3 linked regions of the Bombyx mori genome follow. Each later gene encodes a partner of the first gene's protein in a complex. Links are inferred from orthologs where the notes say so. Each region holds a gene or a part of one and is shown in the gene's direction. Other genes may lie near its edges.

The links.
Region 2: THO complex subunit 3 (region 1) and SAP domain-containing ribonucleoprotein share a complex: the UniProt entries of both Homo sapiens proteins name them as parts of the transcription/export (TREX) complex. The link is inferred for Bombyx mori from reciprocal best matches to the Homo sapiens genes THOC3 and SARNP.
Region 3: THO complex subunit 3 (region 1) and THO complex subunit 5 homolog share a complex: the UniProt entries of both Homo sapiens proteins name them as parts of the transcription/export (TREX) complex. The link is inferred for Bombyx mori from reciprocal best matches to the Homo sapiens genes THOC3 and THOC5.

Annotation. Positions count from the first base shown.
Region 1 is NC_085132.1:2,065,661-2,069,882, forward strand, and holds the start of THO complex subunit 3, read left to right. Parts: upstream 1-1,296; 5' UTR 1,297-1,392; coding exon 1,393-1,611; intron 1,612-1,756; coding exon 1,757-1,878; intron 1,879-2,233; coding exon 2,234-2,369; intron 2,370-3,572; coding exon 3,573-3,676; intron 3,677-4,222. UniProt on the Homo sapiens protein: Component of the THO subcomplex of the TREX complex which is thought to couple mRNA transcription, processing and nuclear export, and which specifically associates with spliced mRNA and not with unspliced pre-mRNA.
Region 2 is NC_085113.1:6,730,943-6,733,920, forward strand, and holds SAP domain-containing ribonucleoprotein, read left to right. Parts: upstream 1-1,471; coding exon 1,472-2,263; 3' UTR 2,264-2,355; downstream 2,356-2,978. Other genes in the region: S-adenosylmethionine sensor upstream of mTORC1, read right to left, coding at 2,387-2,978. UniProt on the Homo sapiens protein: Binds both single-stranded and double-stranded DNA with higher affinity for the single-stranded form. Specifically binds to scaffold/matrix attachment region DNA. Also binds single-stranded RNA. Enhances RNA unwinding activity of DDX39A.
Region 3 is NC_085114.1:10,650,162-10,654,505, reverse strand, and holds the start of THO complex subunit 5 homolog, read left to right. Parts: upstream 1-1,452; 5' UTR 1,453-1,520; intron 1,521-1,539; exon of another isoform or gene 1,540-1,805; intron 1,806-2,182; exon of another isoform or gene 2,183-2,793; intron 2,794-2,873; exon of another isoform or gene 2,874-2,887; 5' UTR 2,888-2,931; coding exon 2,932-3,030; intron 3,031-3,405; coding exon 3,406-3,543; intron 3,544-4,221; coding exon 4,222-4,344. UniProt on the Homo sapiens protein: Component of the THO subcomplex of the TREX complex which is thought to couple mRNA transcription, processing and nuclear export, and which specifically associates with spliced mRNA and not with unspliced pre-mRNA.

The DNA of each region.
Region 1 (4,222 bases):
ATAGATTCTACGAAGCACTGCTCTTGCTAGGGCTAGTGTTAGCAACGTCACTAGATTAGAAATCTCGTGAGCTCAGTTAGTCGTTCGGCAAATCTAATATAACCCCTTGAGGTTACTAGAATAGGTAAGAAAAAAAAAAAGAATTGCAGTGAAGCTTGTTCAAGTAACGATGATTGAGGTAAGCTAACATCCACTAACACGGCAGACGCATTAAAAGATATAAATTGTGATTGATGAGGTCCCAGACCATTTAAAGAGCGTATAAAGGATCTCTACCGAACGAACTTCCATTTTGACAAGCGGCTTAACACAGAAAGTAACGCTTGATACTAAAAATATATGAGTAAACTTAAAAAATAATATGTCGGATGGTTATCAGTTTACTAATTCAGAAAAATTACTCTCTGCGCACTTATGTGCAGATATTTGTGTTTATTTATTGCCTTTCTAAGTGGATGTGCATACGGCCCACTTGATGGTAAGTAGTTACCGTCGCTCATAGTCTATGAGTTATAGACATCAGGAATGCCAGGGGCAGAGCCAAGCCACGGCTTACCAAGTGCTGCTTGCTGTGTGATGTGATACATTATTTATTGTTAATGCTATTTTCGTTGTGCTTTTCCCTTTTTTTTCAGGAGGCTTTGTTGCACTGCGCGTTTATGCTCACAGTTTGGTTGACTCCAATGGCTTACTTCATGAGCCAAATAAAGGTGTGGCGACGAGAATACATGGGCAAGTGAATGACGAATAAATAATTGATTTCTTCTACTGTCTTTATTTTTAAATCTCAGAACGTATTCAGCTTCACCTCTACGCCTTAATCCATTCAACCTGGTAACAACCCGTTAATTAAATAAATGTCGAACACTAAGGTACAGTACAAGATTATAAGGTAAAAGTTCGGCATACAAATTATTTTTTAAGGTTTTCTGTAACTTTTTGTAATGTTCACCTTAAAACTTATGGAAATGAACTTTACAAAGATATTTTTAGAAAGCATTCTAAACTTTTTGCGAGAACGAGAGGTCTACTCTCAGCTTCCAAAGCAAACCCAGATCCGCATTAATACGACCCTAAAAGGTTAAAATTAAGGATAACAAAATCGCTGGACGTAGCTTCGGTTATCCCGGAAATCTCAGTAAATTCTCATCATTTCTATGAGCGCTGTTTCATCTTACTTCTATAAAATAATGAAATCATTCCTACAACTTTGCTTCTCGTGCTGCTGCCAAATAGTCTTAATTTCATACAACTTAGAGGTTTTGGCATTTATTACAAAAGACTTGCCTGTATGAGTTAGATTTCCTTTGCTTGTCCGATGAAAGGAACAGTCGTCAAATAAACAAAAAACACTAACAGGAAAACAACTAAAATTTTAATGTTAAATTTTACATGATAACCAAAGCTATGAAGGATTCAAAGCATTCGCAAGCTCCTATAGAAGATTTAAGTGAATTACGTAGTTATTTTGCGTCACACAATACTACACGCGAGTACATTGCACATTCATCCAAAGTACATTCCGTGGGCTGGTCCTGTGATGGTAGAAAGCTGGCTTCTGGGTCATTCGATAAAAGCGTTGCAATATTTAATTTAGAGAGGAGTAGATTGGTGAGTTATTGTTTATTTCAAAATATTTAAAATCCCTACTAAATTTGAGAGGTTATAATAAATTTTTTTTTGTTTTTAAGCAATAACTTAAAAATTGTGCAGCCTAGAAATAAAAATAAGTAGACACAAATTTTGTAAATTTCAGAGTCAAGATTTTATTTTCAAAGGCCACACAGGCTCTGTAGATCAACTCTGCTGGCATGCGTCACATCCTGATCTCCTGAGTACAGCGAGCGGAGACAAATCTGTTAGGATATGGGATACACGGTAATACTGGGATGTTAATTATTAGCCCTTTATAAATAAATATTAATATGAGATATCCAAAAAAAATTATAAACATCTAGAAATTTTTATATCAACACACATGAATACAATAGTTGAGATTCCATCGTATTCATAAAAGACAAGTGTTAGTTCCAAATGAACATTAATACTATTTTGCGGTAGAGAGTGTGGCATACCTTTATTGTAAATTTTCATAATATATCTTCCTGAACAAGATTGATACCATTGAGTTCAGTTGGCTTTTTCATGGTGACTTAATTTAAACTATTAATTTTAAATTTTTCTTATAATATAGAAAATCTAAGGGTGTTCTACAGGATAATAAAATTTATAGATCACACAAATGCGCGGCGACAATCCCAACCAAAGGTGAAAACATAAATATAGCATGGTCTCCTAATGGCAACACCATTGCGGTAGGGAACAAGGAAGATTTAGTTTCATTTATCGATACAAAAACTTATAAAGTGGTGAGTAATGAATTTTTACTTATATACAGTCAAAACCGTTTACTGCGACATCGTTTAGAACAACATACCGGTTATAATAACCTAGAACAAAGGTCCCGGCTGAATGCCATATGACCGCCTTATTAAAAACATTGCTTTATACGACATTGCTAATAACGACATACCTCATATAACGACCACATTTAACTAATATTTCGGAGAATTAGATCTGTTAGAACGACCAGCTAAGCTGTATTGTAAACAATTTGAATAGGTATCCACATTTGTCTTCAATGGATATTAAAATCAGGAAAGAAAACAATAGGATTTAGTTTAGTGTAGGGTCTTTTCTAATTCTTAGAAACAAAACACGTGCATGCAGTAGAGTCAAAGCCCGCTTCTTCATATCTCTTCAGTTAGTTTGTTACTTATCTATACACAAGACGCATCAAAACTTTATGGAGTTATTCGTGAAACTTTAAAAATGTCGCAATGAAAAAGAAAACAAATTAATATTGAAGAAAAATCGCGGATTATATCCAAGCTAGAGAGCGGAATTTCAAACAAAGACTTAGCAAAGGAATATGGTTATCACACTCGACAATTTCAACCATTTGGAAAGAGCGATGACGATACGTTAATTAAAATCCAACGTGAATTACAAAATATCTACGCACAGCAGAAGTGTTCCAAACAGACCAAAATTACAGATTTTATGCTCACAGAAAACTAATATGCATTGTACTTATGTGTAATAAACAAAATGTACGTTGTTGTATAAATATATTTTTCCAATAATTCCCTATCGATTTGTTTGTACTTGCACGATACACATTAAACATCACCGGTTGTTACGACTATCGGTTTTTACGACTGAATTTGAGCAGTCCCTTCGATGTCGTTATAACAGATTTTGACTGTACATACATATCTATCATCTCTCACAGCATTGATAAAAATTCAACTACATATATAAAATGTATGAAAATCATTAAAATCCACTGTCTAACTTGGTCATATTTCTTGTATCATCCAGATAAAATAGTATTATTAAGCCAATTGTAATTTTTTTATTGACACTCTTTTAAAGATTGACCAATTAATACCAAAAAATACCACTCAAAGAGGATACATACCAGAGATTCTGTCTTTTCAAATACATGAATATAGGGTGATTTGTATCGATTTAGTTACTGCATACATTAAGACATTTATTTATTGCAGGTAACAGAAGAACAGTTTAACTTTGAAGTGAACGAGATATCATGGAATAATACATCGGACTTGTTCTTCCTCACCAACGGACTGGGATGCGTACATATTATGACGTTAGTATTTTATAACATTTAATTCATCAATTCACTGCTAGAAGGAAATAGTTTCAACATTACTATAAAAATAGTTTTGTATTTGTTAGTTGTAAGTGCTGCTACTAAAGTTTGTATGTATTCTGAAGTTTACTTCATTCTTGCCATGGAGGATAGAACTAAGGAGTATTCCATCTTGTGTAGGGGACAAGTTGAAAAATGTCTACCTGTAAACAGCAAGTTACAGTTCGAAGAATCAACAAAATAACGCTAGTGTAGAAAGTGGAAATGGTATGATCCGTAAAGAAGAAATACGACAAATTATATAGCTGTGGTTTGAATTTCCCATTTTGTGGTATCATAGGAGCAGTAGTATTTAAGCTGCTTCAACTAACTAGATTGTCTAGGCACTGACACAAAGGATAGGTAACACAGAGAGAATTAATATTGTTATGTCATTCACTTAATGTATATTGTATATAACATAGGATTTCGATACAATATAGGTAGATTAGCACTTAATTAACTCAATATAAGTATGTAAGTGTACAATAGGACACAGCACAG
Region 2 (2,978 bases), on another chromosome or scaffold:
ACTAATACATTTAATAAATTTTTCAACCTTTGTTTGTAGTCAAATTACGTCCTCATTGGCTTTAATCAAATAGAAACTTTCGCCTATCTTTCTAAATGCTCTGTGTATGACTGTATGACTCTATTGTGAACTTTATTCCGATTTCCGATCATTTGGATAGACTCAAGTTTTTTCTAATTTCAAAGCATGAACGTAGTTACGACATGAACACTCTTAATATCACTTGATTAGAAATACGGCGTATAATTGGAACATTTTTTAGAGATTTTGTACTTATTAATTACATAAATGTTTTCCCTACCTATTCCAGGTTCTCGCGGATGGGTGAACTTACAACCTGCTCAATCTGAGAAAGTTTGTTAATACTAGCTCTAGCAAGAGGAGTGTTTCGCAGAATCTATCACCGGATCGGAATTTAAGCTGCCGTAATAACACGTTTAAGCATGACGAAATGAAATTCTAAATTAAATAAAATTAATCAATTCACACAATGCCGGGTTCCCGGTAAAAAAGTCATTTAATCACTTTTCCACACATTTTTTCAGAGATTGTGCTGTTTAAACTTCTACCCTCTTTTAGTCTGTCAGGTACTTACGTTGTTGTGTAAATTTCGCAGCTATTTTAATTAAGCGTGTAATCTATGCTCCATTTTACGTTGTAATCTAACTGACTTTTTGGCGGGAACGCGAGGAGTGAAGTTGTGTGATTTGATTAATTTTGTCTATTTAGTGTTTCTTCAGGTTTAAATAATAAATAATAATAAATAAATATTTACTAACAATCACGCCACGTTAACTGGTCCCGTGATAAGTTCGTAAAGAACTTGTGTTACAGGTACCAGATAACGGATTTAAATGTAAGATTTTTATTATACGCATACATATATTTAATATACATCCATAACCCTGGAAAAGACATTTATATTTATCATACAAATATCTTCCCTTGGCGGGATTCGAACCCGCGACCCCCTTGTGTAGTGACCATGTCACTTACCACTACACCAGATGGCCGTTATGTGTAATAACGGTGGTTTATTAACTGTTTAATATCTGTGAAAGTGCAAAAATGTGGGAAAATGAAATAAAGCCGCTGGACGTAACTTCTCGGGATCCTCCAAAAAGTCAACTGATAAAATCTCCGTAAATATTTGACTAAGATTTATTTCATCTCATATCATCTCATCTTATTTAATTTAATTTCATTCTGGTTGATTAATGTCTCAAATTAATCATCTTCACTTAATTTCATTTTACTCCATATAATTTTTCATAAAATTAAGAATATTAAATATTAAAGTAGGACATGACCTAAAAGTGTTAGTTACCAGGTCATAAAATCTCTTAAAAAAAGTAGTGAACATAGATTATACACTTCGTATTTCTAATTTCTAGTGTAAGCTAACGCTAAGCATCGCGTGTAAGCATTCTAAAAGTTCCTTGTTCAATAACGTAAACTACTTTTGATTACTATGGCGGATTCAACAGTTTCCGATGTGACTAAGATGAAAGTTGTTGAACTACGTAAAGAATTAAAATCACGTGGACTTTCATACGCCGGCGACAAAGCAGAGTTAATCGCTAGACTACAAGCTGCAATTATATCTCAAGATGAACACACCGACATCAACTTTGAATTTGACGAAATGGACTCGGACGGAGTTTTTGAAGACGAAGAAGTTAAAAGCCAAACAGACGTACTTGATGATACTGCCGTGGACACTTTAAACGAAGATTTAGTTCTTTCGGAACAGTCTTCTACTGCGACAATCGCTGTAGAAACAAAATCAACACGAACATTAAAACGCAAAACCAACGCAGAAACCAAAGATAAAAGTGCAGAAAATGCTAGTGCAAAGAAAATTGTGTTGAATAGACCCTCATCAATTTCACTTGTCAGTTCTAAAACTGTTGATGATCAAATTAATGAAAAATCTGTAGAGCCGAAAACGGCATCCGAAAGTAATAATGTCATTAAAATAAATACTGATCTAGATCCAAAGAAAAGGTTAGAGTTGCGTGCTAAAAGATTTGGTTTGCCTATTAAAATGTCCGAGTCTGAGAGAAAGGAAGCCAGGAAACAAAGGTTTAATCAAAATGATAATCAGAACACCTTCACTAGTACAGGGACGTTAAACGAAAATATGGAAAAACTTAGAAAGCGAGCAGAGAGGTTTGGTGAATCTGTTTCCAAAATAATGACAGATATTGAACTAAAGGAGAAATTGGAAAAACGTAAAGCCAAATTTGGTGCTGTTGCATAGAACATGTTTCTGATAATGGAAAGTCTACTCTAACAAATTAAGATTAGTATATAAGTATTGTTTTAAATAAATAAAACATTCTACTAAGTCAATATTTGTTAAGCATTTTAATTACATATTAAATCATTCGTTCATGTTATAGAATGGCAATTCTTGAAAATCATCAATTATGTGATGGATGACTTGGTTTTGGGCAGAATTTTTACTAATTTCATTAGTATTAAAATCTTGTGGTATATGTAGTGCATATTCCATAAAAGGTTCTTTATGAATATTAGCCCAGCGAATAGCTACATCTTTCAATAAACACTTTCGAAATGCCATACAATGCATGTGTTGAAATTTCTGATAACGAATTCTTGAAAAACCCATTAAGGCTAATGCATAACGCCAGCACTTCATTGTTTTGCTATTTGCTCCAACGTGTTTTGAATCCGGTGTGGTAACAGTAAGCAACCCTCCAGGTTTCAATATGTCATAGGCTTTTTGACATGCAGTTATTCGAAGCTGGGAAGTTGGAATATATTCTAATAAAAAACAAAATGTCACACTTTCATAGCTATTTTCTCCTATTTCTTTAACTTTATTGTCTTCAATTACGGTTCTAGTGCCAATTGGTGTATCTAAAAAATCACACTGTAATACAGACTCATTAGCAGGGCATAAATCAATAGCAAAAACATCAAAATAATTATATAACTTAAAAGGATTATAG
Region 3 (4,344 bases), on another chromosome or scaffold:
TCTATCTTGATAAAAGGACAAATGACTTTGTCCAATTTACAAAAATAAAAGATGTGTAAAATTGATGGAAATTTTGAATTTTCATTTAGTTCAGAAAAAAACTTGCAATCTCAATCTCAAAAAACTAATTTTTAATAGATCCTAAAGGTTAAATCAATACAAAATTACTATTTTATTGTATTTCTATATAATGCTTAGTATATGTGAATTTTAGATTTGGCAATTTAGTTTCAATTTTTTCAGATATCTTTTTTGTTCATCTGTTGATAGAAATGTATGGGACAAGTCATTAAATTGAAAGTATGATTTAAACCCAGTGACCTCAGGATCATCAGCCCACAGAAATTTACTGCTGTATATAAGCAAGGTTTACCACAATGACTGGTCTTACATAGCCCACATCCAGCAATTTACGCAACCTTTAAAATCTTAGACATAGAACCACCGAGACCTAAAATACAACCACCAATTTCCCATTTAGGATCTTGACACTCTTATTTGCTTAATAAAACACCCCATTATTTCAACTTATTACTACTTCTGATTTCCAAAGCACACAGCCTAGTCACGAGACTTACCTTGAATACTGCAAAAAGATTTATTGTATCGATTGAGGGTATTAAAGGATTAATTCTATTACTTTTACTTCTATTGCTAACGCTAATCGAATGAGATGCGCCGGCAAGGTCAAACATAGGTTGTACAATCATAATTCCTACTTTAAAATATTTTTTGATTTAAAATGTTTATTACAAATTCATTGCGCTCACGGGGTTTAAGAATTAGTCATTTTCAACGGATACAATGAAATTTACGTAAAATTGGATGGCTAATGATCGGCATCTAATTTTTTTGTATTGAAAATTTTTGCACTACTCCACTTTTTTGTAATCCATACACATCATAATAATAATAAATTACAAACCTTAAATTAAGCGATATCCTTATTTAACAAAATTGCACCTTACAAGCCGGGTTTGGCAAAATATAAGGATTTGGTTGCTGGCGCGATTACAGCAGTGATATTTTTGACCTTCTCAAGGTGGAAAGCAAAAACAAATGTCCTTTGTTTTGTGTACTTAAAGAGGCAAAGGGATCATAGTCATTTTATATAAAATAAACTAGATAACTAATCAACTGGGATGAAATTAAATGAAATGAGATGATATGGGATGAAATATTTATGATCTCAGTAAAATGGTGGTCATTTACTGAGATTCTTTCAGTGGACTTTTTGGAGGATCCCGAGGAGTTACGTCTAGCGACTTTGTTTCATTTTCCCACATTTGTGCCCTTTCGCAAATACTAAACAGGTAATAAACCACCATTATCATACATTCAAACCTGAAGAAATACCAAATAGACAAAATAAAACATATCACACAGCTTCACTCCTCGCATTCCCGCCAAAAAGTCGAAATCTATGAGCTGAGAGATGCACACATAGATTATCACATAGGTAATATTTGAGGATGCTTAACTGACATTTACTGACATTTATGGAGAGTTGCTATTGCTGAGTAGACGTGCGCTAATCATGTTCGGAACTGGATTGAACATGACATCGTTCTTTTGAGTGTCGGAACTAGTTCCAGTAAACATGTTCGCGGAACTGTTTAGTTTCACGAACATGTTAAGTCTAGTAGCTGTTTGTAGTTTGTAGCTGTTTAGTTCCGCGGACATATTAAGTCTAGTAGCTGTTTGAAGCTGTTTAGTTCCGCGGACATGTTAAGTCTAGTAACTGTTTGTAGTGTAGCGAATCACGTATTAAGTTATTATTAATTACACAATATTTTTCAAAAAAGGTATTAAAAATACAATTTTTTAAAAGCACTATATAAAAATAGATTGCCGCTTATGGCAATTATTATTGTAATATTATTTTGTAAGGTTTTTAGTTTTAGGTTCATTGTTACAGCTGGTTGCATAATTTATTAATGTACTGTAATTACTTTGTCATAATTTCAACTACTCTACTACTTTCATTATTTTTCAATGTAGGTATTGTACGATGCACCGAAAACTATAACCTATCAGTTGTTAATTAAAATACCACGTTATTCTGATATACAACGTAAATTGAGCTCGTTGTAGCCTTACAACCTTTTTCCCATAACCGAGATACCGAATAGCGAAAGTGGTGAATGTTTTAAAATTCTCGAATTTTGAATTATGATTTTCTAAGAAATGGTCTACAAACACTTAAGGTTAAGTGCTCGTAGGAATGATGCATGGTCAAGGTCAAAATCCATAGCAAAACATTTTAATTTATTCAACTATCGACTGTAACACGTAGGTCGTAGAGCATAACTTCAATATTAATAAAAATGTAATATGAAAGAGCTCCACACGCAGTTTCATGCACTCGCTCCATCTCACTCTCTCGTATTCGTGCCATATGTCGCCTTATCTCTTTACGTGGACTCGTGTCGGTTCGAGACTCGTTCGGGTGGACTCGCCGCGCCACGCCTCCGCGCCGCGCGGTACCTATGCTCTAATCATGTCCGCATGTCCGTCATGTTCAACGCGTTCGTAGTTCCTGCATAACAGTACACTTGGAATGGAAATGGAACTGTCTGAACATGTTAATTTTGACAACTCGGATTGAATGATATAGTTCCATATGAGGACATAGTTCCAGGAACTATTTAGGTCCGGAACTACGCATGTCTATTGCTGAGTAGGTACAATAATGAAGTATAATTTAAAAAAAATCATAGTTAAAGACTACCTTTCAAATTAAAGGCTAACATTAAAAGAAAAATAATTCAAACATTACCGTGAACGATGCTAGTAAAAGCTTTAATATATAAAAACAAATCCAGTGAATAGAGTGAATAGGCAGTAAGGTTGTAATTGTCTGTTTAAATTAGTGATTTTTTTAAAGTTCCAGACTTGGATGAAATCTGATAAACTTGAATAAAACTAAACATGGGAAAAGAAGAAGTAACGGCTGTTAAGAAACGGCGCAAATTAAATACAAGTACATCAAATGACGGAACAAAGCCAGTTCCCGTTGATGTATACAAGGTATTGACCAAAATATATAAGATGTAACATAACCTCAAGACTCATTATTCTGTACCATAAATATGTATAATAATGTAAATTTAAGTACATAGTTCTACTAATAAATGAGAATTTATATTTGTGGCTCCTGGTTTAGCAAGCTGTTGCTTTTATATTTTCTGTTGAAGTTTTTGTTTCAGTTTTAACTTATTATTAACAAAAATAAAAATTAAGTGAATCCTGTTCGTGAAATATCTTGTGATCTTCAAAACAAGTTTAATATTAACACTTAGAGAAGTTGTAAACTGAACAAGATCCCAGTACACCAAAAAAATTGTCTTTATTTTTCAAGATTCTTCATTCATTACAAAATGTGTTTTAAATGGATTGTTCCAGCGTGTTGTTGAATTTGAAGAAGCTGAAGCTCATCTGCGTCCAGCTGATAAGGATGCTGCCTTTTTCAATAAAACATGCCAAGACATAAGGCAACTTTTTAAAGAGATTGCAGAGTTAAAAACTAAAGAAACATTGGAGGTATGCCACTTTTCAATTAATAGTTAATGCAGGACATAATAAGAGTCGGGTCCTACCTCGAGAACAGGATGGCCGTGTGCACCGGGCACTGTGGGGCGGTGCTCCATTTTCCCGTCGAGCGTGGTGTCCCACAGGGGTCGGTCCTTGGCCCTCTCTTGTGGAATGTCGGCTACGAACTGGGTCCTGCGGGGTGCCCTTAGCACTCCTCTCCCGGGTCTGAGCGTAGCTTGTTACACGGACGACACTTTGGTCGTTACCCGGGGGAGGGACATCTTTCCTGTGTATGGGTGGCCTTCGTCGTCTGCAGGAGTATCGCGTTCTGACCCGGCAGGCTGGTTCTGGTCCAGCTGGGTATCCCGGAACACCAGCGGCATCGCCCGGGCGGCCTGGCAGGGCTGTCGTACCGCGGAGACCGGCTTCGTTGTCGTCGACTGTCGCATTGAGGACTCGTCGATCCGGCGTCTTCAGGGTGGCGTCGCGTGTCTGGTTGTAGTGTTGACTACCAGATCGTAAAGTCCCACACCCCCCTAGACGCGGGGACCTCGTAGGAGGTTCGGCACCCGGCTCGACAAATAAAAAAAAAAAATGGACATGATTAGATTATATTATGAATTGTAATTAATGTTAAATAATATAAAATATGGAACAATGCAATTAAGGCAAAAGTTATAATTACAGGCTAAAGAAAAGATAAATGCAAAAAGAGTGGAAGCTTCATTACTGCTGGTTGCGTTAAAGAAATTAAATCGCCTGGAGAAAGTACGAACTAGAGCTGGTCGTGATGCGCTCCATAAAGAGAAA